Saccharomyces cerevisiae S288C: one gene and its partners. The gene in region 1 interacts genetically with each later gene. Each region holds a gene or a part of one and is shown on either strand. Other genes may lie near its edges. The genes, in order: GSF2, RIM21, SNF1 and ERG4.

Region 1 (7,734 bases):
CATTAACACGCCTTTATACTTGGTATTATTACTGTAAAATCATTACATGTAATTTGTTCTGACTTCGTTGATTGTTTGAATTATATCCTCCACTTGTACACTCTTTAAATTTTTGGCCAAAAATTCCTGCTCATTCAAGGAAAGTCTCAGGAAATTTTCACATAAATCACCATCAATAACTTTACGTACAGGGGCATAATAGCTTCTGTATTCTTGGTGGTCTCTACCTAAAATGGAACAGGAACCCTCACATATTATTTCATCCTCTATACCATGCCGTCCTTGTAACACAACACTTCCAGATTCCTCTTCATCGTCTTCCTTACGCATATTGTTATTCTTCTTTCTTGATTCATAATCTAAATAAAACGTATCATCCGCCTCAGCCATTATATTCTCAATGTTTCCCATCATAAAAACATTCCCCTTGGATAATAAGGGGATAAAGCATCCCACGGTTCCTTGTAAGCCCATATAGATACAACCAGGTCTATCAGAATTTGAAAGGCTGTCCAGGATATGGAAATCAGTGATGATATCATTAACAAAGAAGTGGTTCAGTAGTTGAAACTTGAACTTGCAATCATAAGTATTGGGTAATTTCTGCTGTAAAGTGATGACGTCTAGTGGGTACTTGATGGCCCCATTAGATAATTCGCTGGGATCATGATTTGACATGATTTTTTCGCACTCTGGTGGAGACCTTAAAGTCCACGCATTTCCATATCTATCAGCGCCTATAACAGTTGCCTCATCTAGAAATTTCAATACCGTCACATGGCGTTTTACAGAGTCATCTACGTACGGAATAAATACATTCCCCGCAGGATCCCAGATAAATAAAGTGACAGATTCATGTATATCACCAACGGCCAGTCTTTCATAATTCCACTGGTGCATAGACACAATTTTTGTTATGGATACCGGGGTCTGTGTTACGGACCTTCTTAATAATTGCTTTTTCCCCAAACCATAAAGGACAATAGTGGAGCCCATGGCTGTCAGCAAGAAGTTTTTAAACTTCAACATAGCATGTATTGGTGAAATGATTTCTGTTTGGTGAAGTAATTCAATATCAAAAGATAGTTTATCTTTGTTAACTAATATCTTGTATGTTAACAGCCTTTTGTCGCCAGCACAAATGATCAAATGATCAGCTTGTCTTGTGAAATCTATTATAGCAGCGGAAACGCAATCGATATCGTCCAGTATCTTGTATAAATGATCCGAACTGCCAAACTTTAAGCATTCACCATCAATTTGCAGTGATATACGGCATTGTTTCTTACCACTGTGATTATCAATAAACAAAATGCTTTTCGGATTATTGGGAAATGATAAAATAGTACGAGGTCGGAATGTAGATATTTGTAACATTTCCATTTCTTCTTCCATTTCATCTTCTTCCTCTTCATTGCTTTCATCTCCTCCACCGTTCTCTTGCTTGTTAACACTTGATTCATGAACGTGAAACCAGTTATCCAAAGTTGGAAAGTTGGAAACTCTGCCAATATTTAAGCGTCCTGAGCTCGATATTGAACAAACACCGTTGATTGCAACATCTGCGTTAACAAATTTGGAACAACTTAGCATGTTTTGATCCTTTAACTGCCGTATGGTCCACACATTTTTCCACGTGTAGCTTACCCATGTAGAAGAGGAATGGCAAACCACGCATGACATCCATTTAGCTCCACTACTATTTATTTCTTCTTCTTCTTTTTCATCATCATCGTCTTCTTCTTCTTCTTCTTCTTCCTCATTATTTAGTGATACAGATATCTCACGCAAATACGAAAGGGAAACAGGCTTCAAGCCAAGGAATCGCCTTTTTATGTCAGTGAACGATCCGTCAACATCCCCTATATGAAATTTCATGTAAACGCCATTTTCTAAACCTACATGCAAATTAAGCTGTCCTATTGAGGAATCTCTAACCATTATCATGTCAGAAATCTTTTCACTAACTAATTGCAAACTTATTACAGTTAAAAAATCTTCCTTTTGGTCTTTAAGAGACATTATTTTGATCATACCCTCATTGTCAGCAATGGCTAATAAATCAGCATGCTGCGTATCTTGCACAATCGCAACTTTAGAGGGCATTGTGTCCAATTCTGGGTGGGTGGTTAATTCGATTAACGAATCCGAAGATACATCTATCTTGAAATAAACCAATTCGTAATTTGATAATGATATAATTAGTTGTGTTTTCGAGGACGTGGCACATACAATACGAATTCCCGCTGGTGGCACCCAAGTCAGCTTATTAGAATACCTAGATTTACCAGTCGGTACGATATGTCTTAGTTCTGCGGTGCATACTTGGATAATAGAGTGTGAGCCCATTAGGCATGTATGAATTGTTGTGTCCTGAGAGAGCTTGAAAGCTGAACGCGTTGCTTCATCCGGTGTTAGTTCCTCCATGGACTCGTTGTCAATTTGTAGTATCATAGTTTTCTTGGGAAAAGTTATGAACAAAAGAGTATTGTTATCGCCGGTTGTTGCAGGATCGGGTATTAGCCATAACTTGGTTGCGTTCGGGGGTAAACTAGTAGATATCAAATTAGAGTAATTCACAGCATTTGTTAAAGTTATTATCTTGTTGTTTGTAAAATGTTTAGTGGCGATAGACAGTGGCGAATCACTGACAATTTGAGATTTTATTGAAGGGTTCAAATTCAATTGTTGCGATAATATGCTCAAATTCTGCAACTTTATGGATGGTTCGAAAACTAGCGACTTATTTGGATCTTTTGAGGTTAAAACATTAGAAAAATCATTTTTCTCTACACCAAGTTTCTCAAACTGGAAAAGAAAGTTGTTATTCATTTCAGATAGTGCAAAAAGATAACCGTTTTTGAAAATGTGTAATTGGTGTGAATTTTGGATTGTATCAAAGTAGGACAATTGAACTAAAGGTCTATTTCTATCATTAGTGTCTGGACTTACAGTTAACTTAAAAAGATCGCCATGGTTAGATTGTAAAAGTACGAAAAAATCATTTTTCAATTTCTGCACTATGCCTGATATGATTGTTACATTTTTATGACGGCTATTTGTGATAGATCTTTTGGGTATTTCCACTTTCAGGCTGAAAAATCCGTTCATATCCTTTACCAGAATATGATTTTCGAAGCCTATGACAACAAAAGGGTTGAAAAGGGTATCATAGTCAGCATCATAGTTGTTGTCGCTTAGCGAAGTTGTTATATTATATCGCGATAGATCTGGCAAACTCAGTACGAAATTGGCAGATGGGTTAACTAAATAATCTGCCTTCTTGACGATGTGATTCAAACCCAACTCGAGGACATAAAATATCAAGTGTACTGATAGTTGAGTAGCGGCATTGTCGATTTCTAAGGTAACAAAACATGGATTATTGAAATTTACATCAACAACTGCCATATCCAGCGTTACCATATGGGGTCTGATGATTTCCAATGGAGACGAAATCCTCAATTTTTGAGCATAATCAACGAGGAAACACAATTTATTTTGTTCGACAGATGAGAGAATGATACAACGCCCATTAGGGTCAATTTCCATGTATGATATGGGAGAGACTCTTCGAAGGGTGGTCCTCGTCAATGGCTGGTTCACTAAAGTCTTAAGTCTAAGAGCACCTGCATGCATAATGATTTGCACGATACTTAGGTTACCAGAATCGGAAGTTAGCGCTAGAAAAGTGGGCCAGTTGGAAGCTTTTGCCCTTGACCCTGAATGCGGCAGATCCAGCGACTTCATCGAGGTTATCGTCGCAAACAGGTTTTGAAACTTGGCAATAAGCTTTAGTTCCCCATCTGCAGTATCATAAAGTTCTAAATGCGTCTCAGTAGCTACGCACAATTGCGACTGCTCACGCTTGGACCCTGCTTCCAGATCGACGAAGTGTCCGATGCAGGAGTGCACGAAATTCGTCTGTTTCTTTAAAGTAAGATGGTACAAGTATAGCTCATCATCTTTAGCAACCATTGTTATGTTATGGTCACTCCTTGTTCTTCTTTCAGCCTCTCGTTTTAAACCGTCATAAGCCATCGTTGTGCTAGCTTGCCCAAATAGTTTACGCATCTTCGCCGTGTGGGGCGACAAGCTTACTACTGCCATTTTGCCACCTCCCCACATTTAATGATGGAAAATATTATAAAAAAGCGAGAAAAGAAGCTAATGGTGCCATTGTTTTCCTTTTTAGAGAGGGGCAGCAGAGATCGGTGGACTTTGTTTTGATAGAGGGCGATTGCAAGCATGGAGATTTACATTAGACTTAACGCAGATGTCGAGCACGACTATGCGTTTCAGGTGTCAAATGAAGACACCATAAATAACAAAATTAAGAAGATTTTCCCTTCCAAGACGGGTTTGGCGGACTTAATGGTGCTGAGACCATCAATTTTCCATGAGAAGGAGCCCGTAAAGTTCTATAAGTCTATCCATCCAGGGTACCTGTCCGAAGGTGGTTGTTTGATGTTCCATTATGAAGCTGATAACGAAGAAAATCTCGAGGAGTTGAATGACTCCAAGCCGCTTATTGACCAGTTGTGGCCTGGTCAGCTAGTTGTTCCGGAGTGGAAGCTATCCAAGAAAAACATATGGGTATACACCATTATTATGTTGGCCTGGCTATATACCGATTTGCCCGACGCCATTTCTCCAACCCCAGGTATTTGTTTGACTAATCAATTGTCTAGACTATTGATTCCTGTAGCCAAGCACATGGATTTACCTGAAATTGCCGCTAAACTCGAACAAGAAGTTCAGGCAAACTATTCTAGTCTCGTAGCTCAATGGCTTTTCTTTGTCATGCACATTTTCAAAGTGGGCATAATTACTTTATTCCTCAAATTAGGCATTGCCAACCCCATCAGCTTCAATCCTTACAAGTTATGGAGTTTGAGAGATTTAACTTCTCCTTCTGCTAACGGCGCTAAGAATTCTGGCGGCAATAACAACACTACTGACTTAAAGACACGTTTGCGCTCTCTGGGCTGGATTGGTGCTAAGAGAGCTACTTACGACGATTACCAGACTAACTATTACAACTATGTCATAGATAAGATGGGTGGTGCAGTTGCTGCTTATAGAGCGGGCGCGATTAGGAAAGCTGCAGCACCAGGTATCCAACTTGTGGCTGGAGAGGGTTTCCAAAGTCCTCTAGAAGATAGGTTCACTGCTTCCACTTTCACGGCTATTAAAACCGAACGGAAATTCATTTTAAGTGAAGAATACTTTGTGGAGCTGGAAAACAATCTAAAGAAGATCTTGGAAGAGTATGACGGGGATATTGGTAAGATGAATGCTGAAATTAGGAGGTTTAGAAGGTTTGGTATTTATGAACCAGATGAAAAACTGGCCTCGCTAGTTAAGCTCAGAAGAGAAATTGCTGATGAGAAAGAGAAAGCATCAAACAATGATGCTACTTTTGGTATAAAAAAGAATGATTTGAAAAAATCTAATTAATTGTAAAACCAAAACACTACCATCCAGACTTTTTTTTTATTCAACCATAGCCTTTAACTACTACTACTACTACTAGTACTACTACTATTACTATTACTATTACTACTACTAGAGGGCCTTTTTTTACTCCTAGTATTTTTGTACTATCCTATTTACTCTCGTTGTTTTTATTAGTTTTTTCACTCTTTTTTTCAATTCCTCACGAATCTACTGTTTTCGTAGTGCTTTTTTTTGTTTCATTGTTTATAGCCATCAATGGTTTTTGTTACTATCATTATCATTATAAATATTTCATACAATATATACAATATATATACAATAAATGAGAATCGATTTACTTTTAATGCATTTTTGCAGTCAAAAAAAGCTTCGTTTACATTTATATGTATTTATGTTTGTATTTCTGGGGGAAATATGCCTTTATGGGCGTATATACTCTTTCGTACGTTTCTACATCCGAGTAGCAGTAGTAACTCGGTATTGTGCTTTCGTCGCCATAATCAGGACTATCATAATCGAATTTTTTTTGCGTTTTGTTGTCACCACATATGGTCCCTTCTTCCTCATCATCTATCAATATTCCCAATTCGTAGACAGTTCTACTTAAATTCTCGTCAATGACTTTAGACACATACTTTCGTAGTTTCAATTCATACCCCTTAACCTTCCTTTTACTAGACAAAAATCTCGGACGTATAAAAATGATGAATATTATTATGCTTAGAATTAATTTGCTTATTAAAATTACCCATATGATAAACGAGAACAACATGAAGGACAAGATCACACTTTCTTCGTAATTTGTCTTAGCAATATGTTTTATCTTGTTTATTATTCCATTTAGGTCATCTAAATTACCTAGGCTTTGAGTACTATGGGTTCCGCTACTGGTCTCATTCGAAACTGTCAGTAAAACTGACCACAAAGTTAATCCGTTGATTATTTGCCTTGGAGAGTCACCGAACAATAGCCTCAAACATCCACTGATTTCAAAATATGAAAAGAATAACCACTTACTGAATTTTTTCTCATCAGTCAGCACTATTAGTTCGAAAATTTGATACTTTTTGAAATTGAACAAGCAATTTATTAATCTGCTAATGCCATTCATGTAGTTCGATGTAATCTCTTTCTTCCTATACACTCTCAATCCAATTACCAACTCCCAAATTAATATTAATGAGGAGCATAATATGCATCCGCTAAACAACCATTTTGAAATACGGAATTCCAAGAATGGTTGGATGATATTGTTCGACCATGTGTTAAATGCCAGTAATTTAATACACGTGTATATATCAGAAAAAAACATGGCCACATGTAGTATCGACTGACACCAGGTGTATAGAATATACTGTAATTTTGTGGTCCACTTCGCAGTAGGAATAAGATTTATGTCAATATCCTGGAATTTCAATTTTTGTAAACTTGATTCCATTATTTAGCGCTTTGTTGTCATTTTCCTTTCCCTCTTAGACAATGTGGTAAAAAATGCCAGCTCCAGGGCTTTCAATTAATCCATTATTGATTTTTAATCTGGAGGTTTGAGCATGGCTGAATAATTTATATACAAATATCTTTTTTTATTGTTTCAGATCATTCGTTTTCAGTATGATTTACTATCATTCATTTTCTTTTTCTTTACCATTTTACGTCGCCGTCGCACATCTTAAAACAAATTTAATACAGAGTTGAAAGTTTCAGACTTAAACAGAATTTACGCAAGAAAGTTTTCAAAGTCCTAAAGTAAAAACGCGCCTTCCACAGCCATTTCTTTGTTCAACAAAAAGTTTTGGCCCTTACTGCTATTGGATACTTGGCAATCCGTCTTTCGTTATGCCAGATGAAACAAATTTTACAATAGAAGATATTGAGCCTAGGCCTGATGCCCTTCGAGGTTTGGACACCCAGTTCCTTCAAGACAACACAGCATTAGTACAAGCATATCGTGGTTTAGACTGGTCAGATATTTCTTCGTTGACCCAAATGGTAGATGTTATAGAGCAAACAGTGGTTAAATATGGCAATCCAAATGATTCAATCAAATTGGCCTTGGAAACTATTTTATGGCAAATATTGCGTAAGTACCCTTTATTGTTTGGATTTTGGAAGAGGTTTGCTACTATTGAGTACCAGTTATTTGGTCTCAAGAAATCGATTGCTGTTCTGGCCACCTCGGTCAAATGGTTCCCAACTTCTCTGGAGTTATGGTGTGATTATTTGAATGTGTTGTGTGTTAATAACCCGAACGAAACGGATTTTATTAGGAATAAT
Region 2 (3,788 bases), on another chromosome or scaffold:
CGATATTGTCAACTTTAACAAATTCCAGAGACTCTAAGAAATTTGAAAACAAAATCAAGGCGTATATTGAAAAAATCATAGTGCGGTTATCAGATGAAGTACCATCCACATATTTTTTCCAAGATGGCGTAGATTGTATTATTCAACCAAGTCCGATTCATAATTTCAAGAGAATGCATTGGTTAAGATACACCAAGAGGCACAATACCTTTTGGGGGAGGACTATACATAAGGACGTTCAAGTCAGCTTCAATGACAAGTATGTTGTTACTAGGAGCGGCGTGAGGTATACGAGGTATCCCACTAATTTGAATACACAATTATTGGAAACTGCATTTGAAGAATGGGACTACTATGAGTGATTTTGCATTGAGTACTTATCCACTGCTCTATTATGTGACATATTCGCAATTCGTGTAAATATTATGCATATGCATCTTGAGCATGCATGGAATATATAAATATGTAGGTTTGTTGTAATACTGTTTCTGCTGTGTCCTTCAAATATGGCCTATATGGTCGCTGGTAAAAGTGGCAGAGCTATTGTTATTGCCTTCACTGCCAACTTCATATTCATCGTCATCTTCATCTTCCGCGTTCTCATCGTCATCTTCATCTGAATTGAAAACGACATCCTTTGTCGAATAAATGTATATGCCTGGTTTGTCTAATCCCAACCGTTTCCTGACCATGGCCTTTCTCTGTTTGGTTTTTTCATTTTTCGAGCTGCTGCTATTATTGTGGCCTACGCTTTTCTGGACGATTTGGTCTGTAAAGTATAAAATTTTATCACGCGCATAGCCTAATTTCTTCAGCGCTACATCTTTATAAGTTCCCCTATCATTGAAATGCATTCGATCAATGCTTCTGCCCACTGATATCTGATCTTCTGGGTCGTAGCGTGATATGGTCTGTAAATCACATACTTCCGAATTACTTGACGTATCGTGCCGATCCGTTGATGCGTCCTGAGATTCCCTCCTGGTTAAAGCGTTTTGAACCCTTAAGGCGTACTTGGCAAACCGATAGTCTTGTTGCTCTTCCTCGAAGATAGGTCTTCCCAAAATGCTTTGCGCTTCCTCTTTTCTTTCCAAAACATTTAATCTATCCAGCCACTCCCATGTGATCACGGTCGAAGTGACATAGCATGTCGTGTTAAACACTTCACCCAGTTCCGATATCCATAAGTTCGACACATCGGCAAGGAAGAAACCCGGTAATAGAAGCACCACAAGAATAGTCAATAGCGTAAGTAAACCCATTTGATTGAATTTAAACCACAATTTTTTTTTCTGCCAGATGTGATAAATGACGATTGATGCATATGACGTGGCGATGGCAATACGGAAAAGGTAAACAAATGGCCGCAGAATCTGCCAGTCATTTCTGTGTTTTGTAGTATGGTTAGCAAACGGTGGAATTACCCATAAAATATTTGCGGTTATTGTTAATATCACCCCAATAAAAAAAATTATTCTCTTTTCCTGAGCTCTTTGAAATAGCCTAATGACAATGCCGACTTGGCAAAATTGGAACATTAAAGTAGCCAAGAAATCCAAGACAACAAATGTCATATCATCGGAAAAGATGTGCATAATGGAATGAGCCCGAACGACACCATAGACATTGTGCTCTTTTTCCAATCTCCGCAACACCTTCGTGATAAAAATCGTTAAGTTCAACGAGGCTAACAACGAGGCTATCCTCAGTAGTTGTAGAATTCTCTTATATGCGCGCCCGCTGATATTTATACAGCATATCACAGTCAGGAACACTGTGATGACAAAATTAGAAGTTATCGACAAAATCACAGCATAAATCGCATACTCAGCAGAACCGCCGACATAATCGCTTACTTGAATGAATTTTTGCCAGTCATTGATCACCTCATCAAGATACCTATATGGGGAAGAGTTTCTTAGCACCGTAGATACATAAACGGGCACTCTTTCACAGCAGAAACTCCTAAAAGTAATATCTTCTGCATATACTGCCGAATTGTCATAAAGAGGCAATTGTATCAGCACCCCTGAACCTAGCTTCATTGGATGACAGCTATTGTAAGCAGCCAATTCTTCTGGACTATGTCTCCACAAGTTCATGTTTGCAGAATCGACTATTCATCGAGTGTCTTCCTCCTTATGTGCTACTAAAAACGATAGTCTAAAATGACTGATTAAGTGCGCACAGGAAAGAAGAAAACAGGTAAAGGACACCGAATCTGTAGTACCAGTCTTTTGTCTTTCTTGTAACTAAACGATGTGGGTTGCTCTTCTAAAGTACTTATCTTTACTCGCCGATACAACGGGTTCCATCTTCTCTTTCAATAGCTGCTATTTTTCTGTTCGGGCAGTATCAGAATTAACAGGATCAAACCTCGTTTATGTCACGTAGAAAGAAAGTAGCTAAAAATAGCTAAAGGGACATCTAGAAGCTTTGTAGGAGTCAAAGAGTTGCGCACCCAGAACCATTGTAATTAGCATGCAGAACGATCAACAGAGGTTCTCCCTGCAAAATAGGACGGTACTGGCGCATCCATACAAAAGGCTAGGAGGGGCATTTACGGTGAAATCACCGTCTGTTCCTAACTTTCATGATAAAATGCATTCAGATCATAGTTCTAGCGACTCAGCTCTGGTGAACGGAAGCTTTAGAGCGAATGATCATCGCTCTGTGGAACCAAGTTGTTTGGGCCAAGCATCCCCCTCTGAACATGATGGGAATTTAAGCGTTATTGACCTGTATGGAGACGAAGTGGAATCCCAACGTGCCGAAGGAGAGGATGATGATGATAATAATGGCGATAATGGTAACGAAGATCTGGAGGAAGTGCACAGTGATGACCTCGATTTGGTTCCTGATGATGACAACCGTCAGCGTGTAGAATTGGAGGGTGCCGCTAGTGCCACAAGTGCGAATTCCAATGGAATCAACAATACCCATTTTGATCGATACGGTTTCAAAAAACAGAATAATTACATATCTGAAGCAGAATACGATAAGTGGTGGGTAGAATATTCGCAGTACTGCGTTCGCCGTAAGCACAAATGGCAATTGCTGTTGGAGAAAAGTGGGTTGCCAGTGACCGATGATTCTCCTTCACGATTTCCATCAAAGAGTGAACGGTTAAAAAGGTATGTCAGAAAGGGCATTCCAGCGGAATGGAGAGGAAATGCATGGTGGCATTTCGCTAGAGGGCAAGAGAAGTTAAACAAGAATAAAGGCGTCTATTCACAACTTTTACGAAAGATGAAGCAGATCAAGAAACAAAACCCTAATGAAAAACAAGTTCAAGACTTGGATATTATTGAACGTGACTTGAATAGAACATTTCCGGACAATATACATTTCCAAAGTAGCTTGCATAACAAAGAGGGACCTCCGATTATAAAATCTTTACGCCGGGTGCTTGTTGCGTTCTCTCTCTACAATCCGAAGATTGGCTATTGTCAATCTATGAACTTTCTTGCAGGCTTGCTATTGTTATTTTTAGACGAGGAAAGGGCCTTTTGGATGCTAGTGATTATTACTTCAAGATACCTACCGGGGGTGCATAATATCAATCTAGAAGGTGTTAACATCGACCAAGGGGTACTGATGCTATGTGTCAAAGAATATATTCCAGAAGTTTGGTCGTACATTAAGCCTTCCATTGACCACCACCAAAAAAATAACAAAACTTTTTCTCCGTCAAATAAAAAAGTTTTATTCAATATGCAAAAGAATGAGTTCTTGTACAGACTTCCGCCCATTACTTTGTGCACGGCGAGCTGGTTCATGAGTTGCTT
Region 3 (8,319 bases), on another chromosome or scaffold:
AATTTTATACAGATGAACTCGAGACTAGGGGTACCATTCATGATTATGGATGAATTAATAAAGATATTAAACTGGACTAACCCAGCGTATACAGTATCTATCATGTTCTTATACACGCTCATTATATTGAAACCTTTTCAAATGCTTTCTTCGCTCCCTATATTCTATTTGTTATTCTGCGTAATGGTCCCGCAATACCTTTACATTCATAAGCCAAACCCTACAAGCTATCTAGATAATAATCAAACACCAGCACAAGGCCCACCTTTGCGAAGACCTGAGGTTCCTAAACCAGTCCCTGAACTGAGCCAAGAATTTGTCTTAAACCTCACGGATTTACAAAACCATATGCTGCTATATGTTAAATTCTACGATTTTACTTTACTCATATTACAAAAGTTTGCATTCTTCACCAACGAGGCTATTTCGTCGTTTTATTTTATTGTATTGTTAATAATAGCAACATTAAATTTTCTGTACATGGATAAATTTATCAAGCTCATTCCAATGAGACCCGTACTGATACTGCTAGGTTGGGGTTTTTTTATTGCCTCGCATCCGTCCAATCGTGAATATTTGTTGACTAAATTGAATTCGGAGGAGACAAGATTAAAAACTTTGACTATAAGTACTAATCTGGAATCTAAGATTTTGCAGCATTTGAAACTCATTGAGGCTAGGGAGCACCGACTTGTTATGATCTTTGAGATCCAAAAGTATCTTCCTGAATACAAAGAATGGCGCCCAGTTGGATTCTCTGATGACGATTATTCTCTTTTCTCTAGTTTGAGAATATACCAGAGGCGTATTGAGGAAAATTCAGTGAAGTCATTAGAAGAAATTGAGCCACCTAAGGATTGGGAATGGGAAGCCAATTCTCATTGGGTGCTTGATTTGGATCCAAAAGAATGGGTAGAGGACGAATTTATTCAGTATGTCGAGATAGATTCAGAAACAAAATGGGTCTATGACCTCAATCTTGATGGACAAAGGGGCTCATATAGAAGGCGAATGTGGACCAACAGTTGCGTGCGGAAAAAACTGGATTCTGGTATTTCTTCAAACCTTGGTGAGGAGGAAGTAGTTAATCCATTGAGGGAAGAAACATATAGGCAAGGCGTACATGGCGTGACGAAGGGTTCAATGAGTGGCGGTCTAACTCACAGTAGTGATGATGACCGCGCTGATGAGGAAAGTATAAACGGTACTATTCCTAATCTCAACAATATCGACGCGGATGCATCTTATCCGTCAATCGAAGAGCTAACAGACACTCTCAATTCAACTATATAAACTTGATTTGTTATACTATATGTTCACTGATGATACAGTCAACTTTTCATAAAACTTTCTAATGACAGTGACGAACTTTTCTTCTTTTCCATTTTTTTCTCTTGATTTCTTTTCGATAAAAGGTTTGTAAGTGAGTTCAACTTTCTCTTCTTGGATCTCTCCTTACCAGTACTAGTTTTACTCTTTTGGGGCTTCTTTACCGCGTACGAAACCTTCCCGCTGCTGGTACTATTGATCATCGGACTAACATCTTGTCCAAATGTTGGAACAACGAACTCAGATTTCCACTCAAACAATTTAGACTTTTCACAATTCAAGCAATTAACCTGGATACATTTTTTTGGTCCTTCCATACTCTCGCCGCCAAGTTCGTCGGAGTCACCTTGCTCGGTATTAGTCGTTAACTGAAGACTTGCGTTAAAATTAGGAACGTAAACACACCCGCAATGGGAGCAAAATTTCCCACTTTTCAGTTGTTCTGGCAGCATGATTTGATATCGCTTCACAGAATTATGAAAATTTTTATAGTATAGTCCCGATAACGCTCTGGAATTCAGTGTTGGCAGTACATGTAGTAGGTTGTATTTTTGTCGCAGACTCCGTTCTTGATATTTTTCTGCCTGGTCTTTATTCATTTTTGGGATCCTTTTGTTGTACGATTGTCAAAGGTTCAGTATTTTTATTGTAGCCACTAGTAGTACTCATCTCTATTTTCACATAGAATAGCGTTTTCAATTTTTCTCATAGAGCGTGAAATTTGCTTTTCATCCGAAGAAATAATGCCAATAAAAGAACATTCACATCAATAAATTATGTTCAGGTTTATTTAATCAAGATTGTTTACTTTATACAAAGGGATATTATAAAGATGTTGCAAATACGTTACGATACATAAAAAAAAGGGAACTTCCATATCATTCTTTTACGTTCCACCATCAATTGCTTTGACTGTTAACGGCTAATTCCATAATTAGTTTTGTTGTTAAATGTAAAAATGGGTAGGCTGAAAAAGTACTCATTTCATCTTCAGAAATATTAGAAACAGTAGTATCATCTCCATAACTACTTTCCCAGCCGTCAAATTTGAAATCCACCAAATAATTATTGGTTTCAATTTGAAATAATTGAATTACCATTTTCATTAAATCAGGTATTTTTTCATTAGTGTTTGTCTTGTTTCCAATATCATATTTCCACCTTAATTTGATAGTCCATAAATCCTCTTCAGATGGCTTGGCCCATTCGGCACCCAAATTCTTCAAGGCAATATAAATTTCACCCATAACGTCTAATGGATATGAGCGAGATCGTATACCAAAATGCCATCTCGTTTTAGATTTTTTCGTTACAAGAGGAGATATTTTAGAGGCAGCTGGCGAACCTTGTGCTAACATATTAGCTCTGTGGATCTGAGGTAAAGATGTAGGCAAAATGGAAACTGTAGAGTCTTCTTCTTTATACTGATCCATGAAGGGTGATTGGTGATATGTCCTTTGTTGAGTGATAGCACTTGCCATCCTTCTTGCGTGTTGCTTGGCAGTTTCATGATCTACTTGACTCTTTTGATGGGATTTGCTTTGTTGTTGAAAAGTTGGAGGTGACTGGGACAGAAAGGTATCCAGTTCATCACTGACGCTTTTGTTTGCCTTCATATCCTTGATCAAAGATTTATTCTCCTTAATCAACATGTACGCGTCCCTAATTTCGTTGAATGCAGGAGTGTCTTCTGATGATTCTAAGGACTCATAAATCTCGTCTTTTTCGTAACCCATGGTCGATGATAAAATATTGACAAGGTTGTCATCAATTTCATCGTTATCTGGGCTGCTGCCATCCTTTTTTGAGTCATTATTTTCATTCTCTTCTTCTGGGTGTGGTTTCAAATCTGGTGGAAGTAGATATTCTGGCAGGTCAACTTTGAACCAATCGTCTTGCATAATTTCATGAATGCTTATTCTGTTCAATGGATTAACGATTAACATTCTTTTGATTAGCCCAGCAGCTCCAGGAGATAAAAATTTAGGCAAGGTGTAAACACCGTTGCTGATATTCTTGAAAAGCACTGGGATGCTTTCATCGTCAAACGGTAGACGACGACAAAGCATAACATAAAGGATAACCCCACATGACCACACGTCCACTTCTGGGCCTGCGTACAGCTTACCGCTGATAACTTCAGGAGCCGCATAATTGGGAGAACCACAAGAAGTCTTTAAGAAATTACCATCAGTCATGATGTTTGACAAACCAAAATCGGCAATCTTTACATTCAGATGCTCATCTAGTAGTAAGTTTTCAGGCTTCAGATCTCTATGGACAATTTTGTGCCTATGGCAGTACTCGACGGCACTGATGATCTGCTGGAAAAATCTTCTTGCCTCTTGCTCGCTCATTTTGTCTCTCTGAACAATATAGTCAAACAATTCGTTCCCGGCGTACTCTATAACCATAATGATTTCATCTTTGGATTTGATAACATCATACAGTTTGATGATGTGGGGGTGTCTTAAGAGTCTCAGATAAGATATTTCTCTTTCAATTCTGCCCTGCATATCACTCTTTGCCAAAACCTTCTTATTAATGATTTTTAGAGCAACTTTTTGGCCCGTAGTGGTATGATATGCCAATTTAACTTTACCAAAGGACCCCTCTCCCAGCGTTTTGACGATTTGGTAGTTCCCGATATGTGCACCATCCGCTAAGGACGACTTGGGATTGTTTAGCGTCGAGTTGCTTCCGCCATGACCGTGATGGTGGTGGTGATGGTGGTGATGGTGGTGGTGGTGGCTAGAATTTGCATTGGCAGGTGCTGTGTTTGTGTTGTTGTTACTGCTCATGTTGACTTTATTAAGGGAGTGTAGCAAAACTTGTTACAAAAAAAAACTTCTATTTCTTTCGCTATGATTATTGAAACAGCCTCTATATATTATCAAAAGCCAATGACACTGAAACAATTTCTATTGTCGTGCTTTTTTTTTTTTTTTCAGGCTTCAATCTATTGTTTATCGTTATACTTCCTGAATGACTGTTTGGACACGAATGCGCAGTAAGAGGAAATGTGAAAAAAGAATATTTCGATAAATGAAAGTTCTGGTAACAAGCCTACAGTACTAAGCCCAAAGCTATGTCTTGGCCCCTATAACGCTACCTGTTGATGTGCCATACTCTTACCAACTTTCTTTTACGTTAAAAATTTCCATCCCCTTCCGCTACGAGAAAAACTGCAGAGGGTAACTATGACATGTACTTTCTAATATGGGCCTATAAGGACTATATACATATGACTAACATTGAGTAAAACCAGGTCTCGAGTCCCATCATCACGCCCATCCTTTTGCATCCACGCCGCCACGCAATTCCTCTTTTTTTGAAGTTACTTGCGTCATGTGGGACATCATATGGGACATCATAGCCTGCAAGATCGAGAGTTAAATATACGACTAAAAGAAATAGTAGCACACTGCCATTTCCAGCTTTTAGTCCCTTGGGGAAGGTTCAGCATTTGATAGCAAATGATTGTACAGTTTATAACCGTATCTAAACGTACGGACATGTTTTTTCCTAGGGCCTCTATTAAAAAAATCTTTGAAATTTCCCTTCAATGCCACCCTTTTTTGCCAGGCATTGGTGGCCATGATTTGTTATGGCTTCCAAGAAAAGGTTTTACTACAGACGCCTTTACTACAGAAGATGCCTCTTCCTATCGTGATTTGCCCTCCAGACAAAAGCCGCGGACATAACGATGGCGGATTGCATTAGACAATGATTGCTATACGGAGGCGAAAGAGATAGCTAGCGACTTCTTAAAGGCGACATTGCTCCGCTACAAACGTGGTGGAGTTTTAACCCTACGAATTCAGTTACAAGGTTGAAGTTAGTGAGCAGCTTCTGTTCTGCCGTTTCTTGCGCAGTCTTGAACTTTCTTGGTCTTGCCATGTGGTCGGGATATTCTGTTCGTTTATAATTACTCCTTGCCACAAAGTGCACACCTATTTGGATATGGTATATATAAAGAGTGGAGGCTTATATCGGCGAGAGCGTGCGTTCTATCAACTCAAGCAAGTATACGGGTATACACAAGTATGTGGGATTCGTTAATTGTAAGCATCAACGATACGCACAAGTTGGGGCTGGAGGATTGTCTCGCCGTTTTTGGCCACGTTCCCATTACCAAGGCCGTCAAGCATGTCAGACTGACAGAGATCGACACGCAGACGTCCACGTTTACGCTCAAGTTCCTTCACACAGAAACGGGTCAGAACATCGAGAAGATTATCTACTTCATTGACAATGACACGGGCAACGATACCCGCACTGCTACCGGAATCAAGCAAATCTTCAACAAGATGTTCCGCATCGCTGCGGAGAAGAGGAAGCTGTCGCTCATCCAGATCGACACTGTTGAGTACCCCTGCACTCTAGTAGACTTGTTGATCCTGGTAGGCGTGGCGCTACCGCCATTGTGCTACCTCTATCGTCCTGCACTGCACGCTATCTTTTTCCTGGTCCCTAATCCTGTGGGCTCCACCTTAGAGGCGTGGCTGGATAGTGATCTTGTGCTGCGACTCATCATTGTTGCCGAGTTCCTGACTCACGCCCTCGAGACGCTCATTTTCGTCGTCCCTAGGCTCAAGTACTACCGTGTTCCTGGCGAGTTCGTGCCCGAGTGGCTTCTTCTAGGTCTCCTCGAAGGTTACGGTCCTGCGAGACGTCTAGATACTAAGGCTCGCACTCTTGGCGAAGGGTCAGTTAATTAGTCCGAGGCCTTTTTTCATTTTGTCTCCCTATCCGACTGGAAAAGTTCTAGCGAAAAGTGCAGCAGACGCTGCAGCAACAGGAACAATTTCCGAATGACCCACCTGCGGTGGTGTGGCACACGCATTCTGCATGTCTCAATAACCTCTAGAATTATCTATATACTTTTTAGTAAACACAACTTAAAACCCTTTTGTCTTTTCCAACATATTTTGCATATAATTTTTGTAAAGGTTTTTTTCTTCTCTTGAGTCCACTCACTATTCGAAAGCAATATCAACAAATAGAAGCTTTCTTCTATTTTTAAGGGAAGGAATCTTTAAAGTACAAGGAACAGAAGATACTAAAACATAGGGGGAAATGGTGGTACGAGATCAAGATGAGGCGTTGAGAAATTCTTATAAATATGTTAAGCTGTATGTCAGGCAGGACCAGCTGGAGGATACGGTGGACATACTCGCTAAGCAGGACGAGGACAAGTCCAACAATGATGACAGGCGCAGTCTAGCCTCGATATTGGACTCGAGCAGTTCCGTCAAAAAGAAGGGGAAAGGCAGCAACGAAAAGTACCTACCATGCGTATCTTTCAACACAGTTCCCAGATCAAGGGTATCTTCGCCCTTAGATGAAGAGAAAAGAGAATTTCCTGGCGTGCAGATCTCTGCAGATTATACAATGGAGGAATATTATGACGACGAAAGTGGCTTTACCTCGGACAACAATGCCGACTACTTCTCCGGGAATAGCTATTCGAGTAGGCGAGAGGGCAGTGCTAGTCCCGGCAGGTATTCTTCTCCACCTCCTGCCTCTAAAAGAAACATCAAAATAGGTAAGATGTTTAAGATTTCTGAAAATGGTAAAATTGTAAGGGAAGACTATCCTACTACACCCACCGATATCAATGACGCTCTTGTGATTAGTAGGGCGTATGCCAATTGGAGACAACTATGGATCAAGAAGAAAAATCAGATAGATCATCGATTAGAACAAAAGCGCGATTTCTTCAATTACCCAACAATACTGTTTCCTCCAAACAAAAAAAAGTCGTCTGAGGGCGCTACTCCCACAATAAAATTCAATCCTCCCATAGAAGACGGCTTTACGCCTTTGACTAAGTCTCAAAAGCGGAAAGAGCGTGTTTTGAGCGAAAAGGTTGGGTTCCCGAACACTCCTCGAACGATATTGTGCCACATCAGCGGCAGGAAACATACTTGGGTAGCACTAGATTGGGCGCTACGAACTTTGATTCAAAATACAGACCACATTGTTGTGTTGGCAAACCTGCCCCGCCTGACTAAGAATAATTTCGAAGACAATGATTCGATGAGTGAGCGAAAAAGAATGCTAATGATGATGGATGATAGCAGGAGTGTTAGCTCAGCAAGAAGATCACGATCCAGATCGAGATCACGATCCATATGTACAAGAAGGGCACTTTCTCTGGGGCCTGAGGAATCTGACAACAAATTAAAGCACCAAAATTTTATCGAGTGGACATCTGGTTATACGCAGAACGAAATAGAACGTAAATTGCAAGATCTTTTTGATTATGTTACACTCATAATTCCGCAAGATCGTTCTGTCAAGGTCACTGTCGAGATCCTAATTGGCAAGACTAAAAAAACGCTTCTTGAGGCAATAAACATCTATTTACCTGATTTCTTTGTATCTAGCACTTTGAGGTGGGAGAGAACAGACAGCTTAGTTCGTTGGAAATCGAACTTTCTGACAGATAAACTGTGTACTAATTTTCCGATTCCAACGTTTATTGTACCGGCAAAGAGAATGTTCGATTTGGAAATAGATTTGCAAAAAGAGTTTAAAGAACCGGAGGTAACGAAACAAAAAAATACTAGCGGTCCAAAGCCTGGGTTCAGCCATTCTAAATCAGCAGATGCTAGCATTCCAACTATCTCAAATATCAAACGGAAGCAAGATAACGATTATTCTATAGATTCACTATGTTATGCCCCAGAAGCTAATGGTGCTAACAATAGTAGCCGAGAGGAAGCATCTGATGATGAGCTTAACGCTTTTAAGGATGATGAGAATGATGTGATGTCCGTGAAATCCTTAACCTCTAACATTTCGGTAAAGGAAAAGTTATGTACCATGGCAAGGAAACGTAGAAAGAGTATGGCTCAGCAGTTAAATGACGCCGATCATGATTCATCAATACCACCGGGACAGAGGCATTTGAAAAAACTGAATATTATTTTGGAATCTTCATTAAAGTTTTCATTAGAAATCGATAGCATCACTGATAGTATT
Region 4 (7,803 bases), on another chromosome or scaffold:
TGGGGACAAATATGGAATGGATCAAAACGTTCTTAGGATTGTGGTGGTAAAACTTGTAAAATCCAAGCTGAGATCTTAAATCCAGCAAACCTTCGCCCATATTTATTCTTTTATAACAGAAGAAGAGACTATATTCTCAAAACCTCGTATATTTATATACATATCCTCCAAACAAACTCCCAAGTTTCACTTTCCTGGATTTACCTTGGCATTCCTTTTCCCCATCCTCTTATAATGGTAATCGCGATCCTTAATTATGATATCACAATAGACGAAGGGCACACACCAATTTGCCACCGTAAGGATAGAGTAAGTTAAATGGCTAACTCATTATAATCTTCATGCTAAATCATATAAGGGCAGAGACGAAGCAAAGCGAAAAAAACATATTACAATCATGTCGGGTGCTGCTGCTGCATCTGCTGCTGGTTATGACAGGCACATCACTATCTTTTCCCCCGAGGGTCGTTTATATCAAGTAGAATATGCCTTTAAAGCGACTAATCAAACTAACATAAACTCACTAGCGGTCAGAGGTAAAGATTGTACAGTGGTGATAAGTCAGAAAAAGGTCCCTGATAAACTGTTGGATCCAACTACTGTTTCGTATATTTTTTGTATTTCAAGAACAATTGGTATGGTAGTGAACGGACCAATACCGGATGCAAGAAATGCGGCCCTAAGAGCCAAGGCTGAGGCTGCAGAATTCCGTTATAAATATGGTTATGATATGCCATGCGATGTATTGGCTAAGAGAATGGCTAACCTTTCCCAAATCTATACTCAAAGAGCATATATGAGACCATTAGGTGTTATACTCACATTTGTTTCGGTAGATGAAGAATTGGGTCCCTCCATTTACAAAACTGACCCTGCAGGTTATTACGTTGGCTACAAAGCTACTGCGACAGGACCAAAACAACAGGAGATCACAACAAACTTAGAAAACCATTTCAAAAAGAGTAAAATCGACCATATTAATGAAGAATCATGGGAGAAGGTGGTAGAATTTGCTATTACTCATATGATTGACGCACTGGGTACCGAATTTTCAAAGAATGACTTGGAAGTCGGTGTCGCTACAAAGGACAAATTCTTTACCTTGAGTGCTGAGAACATCGAAGAAAGGCTAGTAGCAATTGCTGAACAAGATTAACATACTTCCTGCCACAACATAATGTGAAATCACACGCGTCAACACTCAATATATGTATGGACACGTTTCATTTAGGATTTATTTTATAGGAAAAAGTAGATCAAGTAATAGAAAATCGAATCTTTTCAAGCCCTTTTGTCGCGTAAATACATCAATACTTTTATATACAAACTGTAAAATAAGTTAATGAAGTGGATAGAAAAAGAAAATAACTAGAAAACATAAGGAATAAAGACGTAAGGGCAATGTTTACAATACTCATCCCAATCTTTTCCGTACTTTCTCTTACATTTTGCTTGGTCTCTGAAGGCTCTGTGAATCAGGACAACAAGGAAGAATACTGGGAAAAACCATGGGAACACCGAGTTGAACCCGCAAGACAAGGCCCAAACGAGAGATTGAGTCCAATCGGCAGTGTAGTGAATTTTTCTAGCCAAAGTGTACCAACCATCAATCAATAGGTACGATCCATTGGAGGTAACCATATACTTTGGATTCTTCAAAATTTGGTATGGCAAAAATGGGAAAGTCTTCCTACCTGTCTTGTCACCAGACATTTGCTTTCTGAAGGCATTTTTCTGAGCATTTGCCGTGTCAAAGAAGTAGTAGGCGCATAATAGAACAACGTACAGCGAAACATTGTACAGTGTAGACCAGTGATATTCAGATGGGTCATGGTAGTACAAATACAACGTACAATGACAGTAAGTGTATGGGACACCGGCAATATTCCAGAAGATCAGCATAAATCCAAACTTTTCGTAAGCCATGTCCCAGGTTGGAACAATCAATTCTTCACCTTTAGCACATGCGTTCGCGTACAACCAATGAGCTAACATGACAACCCCCAATTGTGGTGTCACATAGCCGTAAGTCTCCCACTGCTTCAAACAGGCACCCAAAGTGATAAAGTAAAGGGTGAACCAAGGTAATCTAACCTCGAAAAACATCTTCAAGTCCAAAATCCCCCACCTAGGGTTTAGTGGAGCTCCCATGAAGAAATCATATAGATGGTTTCCTGTCATTCTATGATAGTCATGTGAGATAAATAAAGTCCATAAGTACAATATGATGGAGAAGGCAAACCCTGAAATAATGGCACATGTCATGATCCTCCCAAAACGGTCAATAATGACATACAATCTAAAAAGATTGGTAAAGTGCAAAACCAAGACCAAAGTGGTAGTTACATACAAGGTCCACATGGCATTACAAAAGTAAGGCAATTGTTTTCCCTTCAAATGAGACAATGGTTGACCTTTTGTCCAAATCCCGGGCAACGTATAGTAGAAAATGATCTGAAACACCCAAAATGTTAAGAAAATAGTCCAGTCATACTTTTCTGGGATACCGTTCTCCAAGACTAACTGGTATAGGTGCTTGATAAAGTGCATCCACGATTCACCAGCCTTGGGTAGGGCAACCTTACCGTGATAAAATTCCGCACAAATCCACATATAGTACATTAGCAGTGGAAACCCGATCAGCATACCAATAACACCAGTAGTCCCACCAAACTCATATTCGATTTCATTTGGCTTCAGCCATTTACCCTGAGGCAGGAAATTAACCGGTTGCTTGGACTTTTTCTCCTCTCCCTGCACCTGCAGCTTCTCACTATTATCCTTTGCCATAGCGATGCTAATCTATGTACACTACGTAAATATCCGTATCTGCCTATCTACATAACTGAACTACATTCCTACGTTATTACCACTGTTTGGTAATTTTTCCTCGAGGATATATAATTCTGCTTTTCCATAGTAACGCCAAACGATCGCGTAATACCGGCAATTACGGGATGCACGAAAATAGCGCCAAGGAACGAAAAAGAAATGAGTCTCGTTTAGTTATTAAACGAGAAGAAACGAGCCCTGATTTACATTCTCAGGGTCCAATAGGGCTTTGTTGGAAACAGACGCATACCCTAAATGGAGTTTCTTTTCTTGTTCAAGACCTAATGAGTGGCAATAAGAGGCGCTAATTAAAGCTCTTCAAAACAACCTTATTCGCCTATTACACATGATCAGCCACTCTTTCATTGTCAACAATAGCATGATAGCAGGACCATAGCGGCCATATAGACATTACCAGGAGTGAGTTTTGGCTAAAAAAAGACAATTTGCACATCACTTGCTAACTATTCATCTCAGCCAAGAATATACAGAAAAGAATCCAAGAAACTGGAAGATGCGAGGCTTGACACCTAAGAACGGTGTACATATTGAGACGGGTCCGGATACAGAATCGTCCGCGGACTCCAGCAACTTTTCTACAGGTTTCAGCGGCAAGATTCGTAAGCCAAGGTCGAAAGTAAGTAAAGCGTGCGATAACTGTAGAAAAAGAAAGATAAAATGTAATGGGAAGTTTCCCTGCGCAAGCTGTGAGATATATTCATGTGAGTGCACGTTCAGCACTAGACAAGGTGGCGCTCGAATAAAAAACCTTCACAAGACGAGTTTGGAAGGTACAACCGTACAAGTCAAAGAGGAAACAGATTCCAGTTCGACTTCTTTTTCTAATCCTCAGCGATGTACAGACGGGCCATGCGCAGTGGAACAACCAACGAAATTTTTTGAGAATTTCAAGCTAGGTGGTCGTAGTAGTGGTGATAATAGCGGAAGTGATGGGAAGAATGACGACGATGTGAATAGAAACGGTTTTTATGAAGACGATAGCGAATCACAGGCAACTTTGACATCTCTACAAACCACTCTGAAAAATTTGAAGGAGATGGCTCATTTAGGTACACATGTAACCTCAGCCATCGAGAGCATTGAACTTCAGATAAGTGACTTGCTTAAGCGATGGGAACCCAAAGTGAGGACCAAAGAATTAGCAACAACGAAATTTTACCCTAATAAATCAATAGAAACTCAATTGATGAAAAACAAATACTGTGATGTGGTACATTTGACAAGATATGCCGCTTGGTCAAACAATAAGAAGGACCAAGATACTTCTAGTCAACCTTTGATCGACGAAATCTTTGGTTTGTACTCTCCTTTCCAATTTTTGTCACTTCAAGGTATTGGTAAATGTTTCCAAAATTATAGATCCAAATCCAAATGCGAGATTTTTCCCAGGACCGCCAAGGAAACCATATACATCATGTTAAGGTTTTTCGACGTTTGTTTTCATCACATCAACCAAGGCTGTGTCTCCATAGCTAATCCCCTGGAAAACTACCTACAGAAAATGAATCTTTTACCTTCAACCCCATCTTCGATATCATCTGCAGGGAGCCCGAATACAGCACACACAAAATCGCATGTTGCGTTAGTGATAAATCACTTACCGCAGCCCTTTGTGAGAAATATAACCGGAATAAGTAATTCTGAGCTACTAAGCGAAATGAATAATGATATCAGCATGTTTGGCATTTTATTGAAGATGTTGGATATGCATAAAAATTCCTACCAGAACTTCCTAATGGAAATCACATCTAACCCCTCCGTGGCTAAAAACACGCAGTCAATTGATGTCTTGCAGGAATTCATCCATTATTGTCAAGCTGGAGAGGCGCTAATCGCCTTATGTTACAGCTATTATAATTCTACATTATACAACTACGTGGACTTCACATGCGACATAACGCATTTAGAGCAACTTCTATACTTTTTGGATCTGCTATTTTGGCTATCGGAAATATACGGTTTTGAAAAAGTCTTGAACGTAGCAGTTCATTTTGTTTCAAGAGTTGGTTTATCAAGGTGGGAATTTTACGTGGGTCTTGATGAAAACTTTGCTGAAAGAAGAAGAAATCTCTGGTGGAAAGCTTTCTATTTCGAGAAAACTTTAGCCTCTAAACTTGGCTATCCTTCGAACATTGATGACTCCAAAATCAATTGTTTATTACCTAAGAATTTTCGAGATGTTGGGTTCTTGGATAATAGAGATTTTATCGAGAACGTCCACTTAGTTCGCAGGAGCGAAGCTTTTGACAACATGTGCATATCCGACTTAAAATACTATGGCGAATTAGCTGTCTTACAAATAGTCAGCCATTTCTCATCATCTGTTTTATTCAATGAAAAATTCACGTCAATTAGGAATACATCAAAACCATCTGTTGTTAGAGAGAAACTACTCTTCGAGGTACTCGAGATTTTTAACGAAACAGAAATGAAATATGATGCTATCAAAGAGCAAACTGGAAAATTGTTCGATATTGCATTCTCTAAAGATAGTACTGAACTCAAAGTTTCAAGAGAGGATAAGATTATGGCTTCAAAATTTGTTCTATTTTACGAGCACCATTTCTGCAGAATGGTTAACGAATCTGATAATATTGTCGCCAGATTATGCGTGCACAGAAGGCCCTCAATACTAATTGAAAACTTGAAAATATACCTTCACAAGATTTACAAATCATGGACCGATATGAACAAAATCTTATTAGACTTTGACAACGATTATTCCGTATACCGTTCGTTCGCCCATTATTCTATCAGTTGCATTATTTTGGTATCACAAGCATTCTCAGTGGCCGAATTCATTAAAGTAAATGACGTTGTGAATATGATTAGAGTCTTCAAAAGATTTTTGGATATAAAAATTTTTTCCGAAAATGAGACCAATGAGCATGTCTTCAACAGCCAAAGCTTTAAAGACTATACAAGAGCTTTTTCTTTCCTGACAATCGTCACTCGTATCATGCTTTTGGCATACGGAGAGTCCTCTAGCACCAACCTCGATGTTATCTCCAAATATATTGATGAGAATGCGCCAGATTTAAAAGGTATAATAGAACTTGTCTTGGATACAAACTCTTGCGCTTATCGATTTTTATTAGAACCTGTTCAGAAGTCAGGATTCCATTTAACGGTCTCACAAATGTTGAAAAATAGAAAGTTTCAGGAACCACTAATGTCAAATGAAGATAATAAGCAGATGAAGCATAATTCGGGAAAAAATTTGAATCCGGATCTCCCAAGTCTTAAGACGGGCACTTCATGCTTACTAAATGGCATTGAATCGCCTCAATTGCCATTCAATGGTCGCTCAGCACCTTCCCCAGTGAGAAACAACTCACTACCGGAGTTTGCACAATTGCCTTCATTTAGGTCATTATCCGTGTCTGATATGATCAATCCCGATTACGCGCAACCAACAAATGGGCAAAATAATACGCAAGTCCAATCTAATAAACCAATCAATGCTCAGCAGCAAATACCCACTTCAGTACAAGTACCATTTATGAACACAAATGAAATCAATAACAACAACAACAACAACAACAACAATAAAAACAATATTAACAATATTAACAACAACAACAGTAACAATTTTTCTGCAACTAGTTTTAATTTGGGGACACTAGATGAATTTGTTAATAACGGTGATCTTGAGGACCTCTACAGTATCCTGTGGAGCGACGTTTATCCAGATAGTTAAACGTATACGTTTGTATAGATAAAAGTTCTCAAAAACTTCCTTCCTTTTTTTTTTCTTTTGAGTTTACTTATTTAAATAAGAACATTCTGTTTTCTAGGGCATCTCCTTCTCTTATTTCTTCAACACTATTTACCAGTATACCATAAAGTGAAAATTCCTATTTTTTTTGCTTTGGATATTCATTTGATCCTCAACGAAAAAAAAAATGATGTATTTTAGTATTGTACAAAAGATATTATATGAGGCTAACGTAAAAAAAGCTAAACTGAGGATATATGTATCAACTATGAATCTAAATGTAACATTCCGATGATTCTTTTACCATGAGGTGTATTTCTTATGGGGCCCACCAGTAAAGGCGCCACAATCTCTGATAGTCTTTTATAGAGATAGTCATTTTGCTTATGAGAAATGTCTAATGCTGTCTGTAAAACGTAATTTCCGTAGCTATCATTCAACAATGATTGAATACCCGTCTCGCCACCATTATTTAAAATTTCCAGAATCATTGGCTCCGAAACAATAGCTGTCTTCAAGATTTTTTCAATCACATTTGATCCAAATTTATGGATAGAAAGTTCGATGGCTCTTGGTTTCAACAGGTGGACAATTTTATGCGTATAATCATATTTGTTCTTCTCAGCCTCTTTGGTAATTATATATTGCACCACATAGTTGCCAAATGGATCCAAAGTTAATTTATCAACAAGGGCTAGCAACTTATCACACAGATTGTCACATTGTTCTGTAGTCCCATGATCTAGACAACGTTGCAAAACGCAACACCCGTGTCTATGAGTAGCAATATCAATACAGCTATCAGAGATTGCGTCAAAGATAAACTGGAAGTTTTCAGGCTTCAACCTTTGCAAACATTTTTGAATAACATGATTACCATTTAAATCCTTACTCAACTGGACAGTATAAGGGCGTAAAGAATCAACAACAATCTGTGCTTCTTCATCTGTTTTGATGCATTCAATGAGTTTTTGTAATGCCCTAGTACCATGAGGGTTTAAGGAAATTTCGACAAAATGAGGGGAAGATATTTTTGTGAGTACGATTCTTTGTTCTGTGGTAACCTCTTCCAATAGCTTCTGGATCAAATAATTACCGAATGAATCAGTCATCAATTCAACCGTATAATCCTTAGTTTCTTCAAAAATTGCGTCCGCCGCCTTACTGCCGAGAATATCCAACTGCTTTTGCAGAAAACGACAACCATGTTGGTCTTTACACAATGAGTGAAT

Evidence for each region.
Region 2: mutations in GSF2 (region 1) and RIM21 together harm fitness more than expected from each alone (negative genetic interaction), as found in Saccharomyces cerevisiae (3 studies listed by BioGRID).
Region 3: mutations in GSF2 (region 1) and SNF1 together harm fitness more than expected from each alone (negative genetic interaction), as found in Saccharomyces cerevisiae (4 studies listed by BioGRID, with this or other methods).
Region 4: mutations in GSF2 (region 1) and ERG4 together harm fitness more than expected from each alone (negative genetic interaction), as found in Saccharomyces cerevisiae (3 studies listed by BioGRID).

The regions. Positions count from the first base shown.
Region 1 is NC_001145.3:174,178-181,911, forward strand, and holds GSF2 (Gsf2p), read left to right. Parts: upstream 1-4,248; coding exon 4,249-5,460; downstream 5,461-7,734. Other genes in the region: U2 snRNP complex subunit RSE1, read right to left, coding at 43-4,128; pheromone-regulated K(+) transporter PRM6, read right to left, coding at 5,840-6,898; PRP39 (Prp39p), read left to right, coding at 7,297-7,734. UniProt on the Saccharomyces cerevisiae protein: May be involved in the secretion of hexose transporters from the endoplasmic reticulum. Involved in secretion of GAL2 and HXT1.
Region 2 is NC_001146.8:78,159-81,946, forward strand, and holds RIM21 (Rim21p), read right to left. Parts: upstream 2,103-3,788; coding exon 501-2,102; downstream 1-500. Other genes in the region: MRX6 (Mrx6p), read left to right, coding at 1-362; Rab GTPase-activating protein MSB3, read left to right, coding at 2,482-3,788. UniProt on the Saccharomyces cerevisiae protein: Required for the proteolytic cleavage of the transcription factor RIM101 in response to alkaline ambient pH. Required for growth at alkaline pH.
Region 3 is NC_001136.10:1,408,184-1,416,502, reverse strand, and holds SNF1 (AMP-activated serine/threonine-protein kinase catalytic subunit SNF1), read right to left. Parts: upstream 4,131-8,319; coding exon 2,229-4,130; downstream 1-2,228. Other genes in the region: PEX29 (Pex29p), read left to right, coding at 1-1,293; SNM1 (Snm1p), read right to left, coding at 1,332-1,928; YDR476C (uncharacterized protein), read left to right, coding at 5,376-6,050; JIP4 (Jip4p), read left to right, coding at 6,409-8,319. UniProt on the Saccharomyces cerevisiae protein: Serine/threonine protein kinase essential for release from glucose repression.
Region 4 is NC_001139.9:467,842-475,644, reverse strand, and holds ERG4 (delta(24(24(1)))-sterol reductase), read right to left. Parts: upstream 2,791-7,803; coding exon 1,369-2,790; downstream 1-1,368. Other genes in the region: 2-hydroxy-palmitic acid dioxygenase MPO1, read right to left, coding at 1-100; SCL1 (proteasome core particle subunit alpha 1), read left to right, coding at 398-1,156; drug-responsive transcription factor PDR1, read left to right, coding at 3,347-6,553; PUF4 (Puf4p), read right to left, coding at 6,838-7,803. UniProt on the Saccharomyces cerevisiae protein: C-24(28) sterol reductase; part of the third module of ergosterol biosynthesis pathway that includes the late steps of the pathway. ERG4 Catalyzes the last step of ergosterol biosynthesis by converting ergosta-5,7,22,24(28)-tetraen-3beta-ol into ergosterol.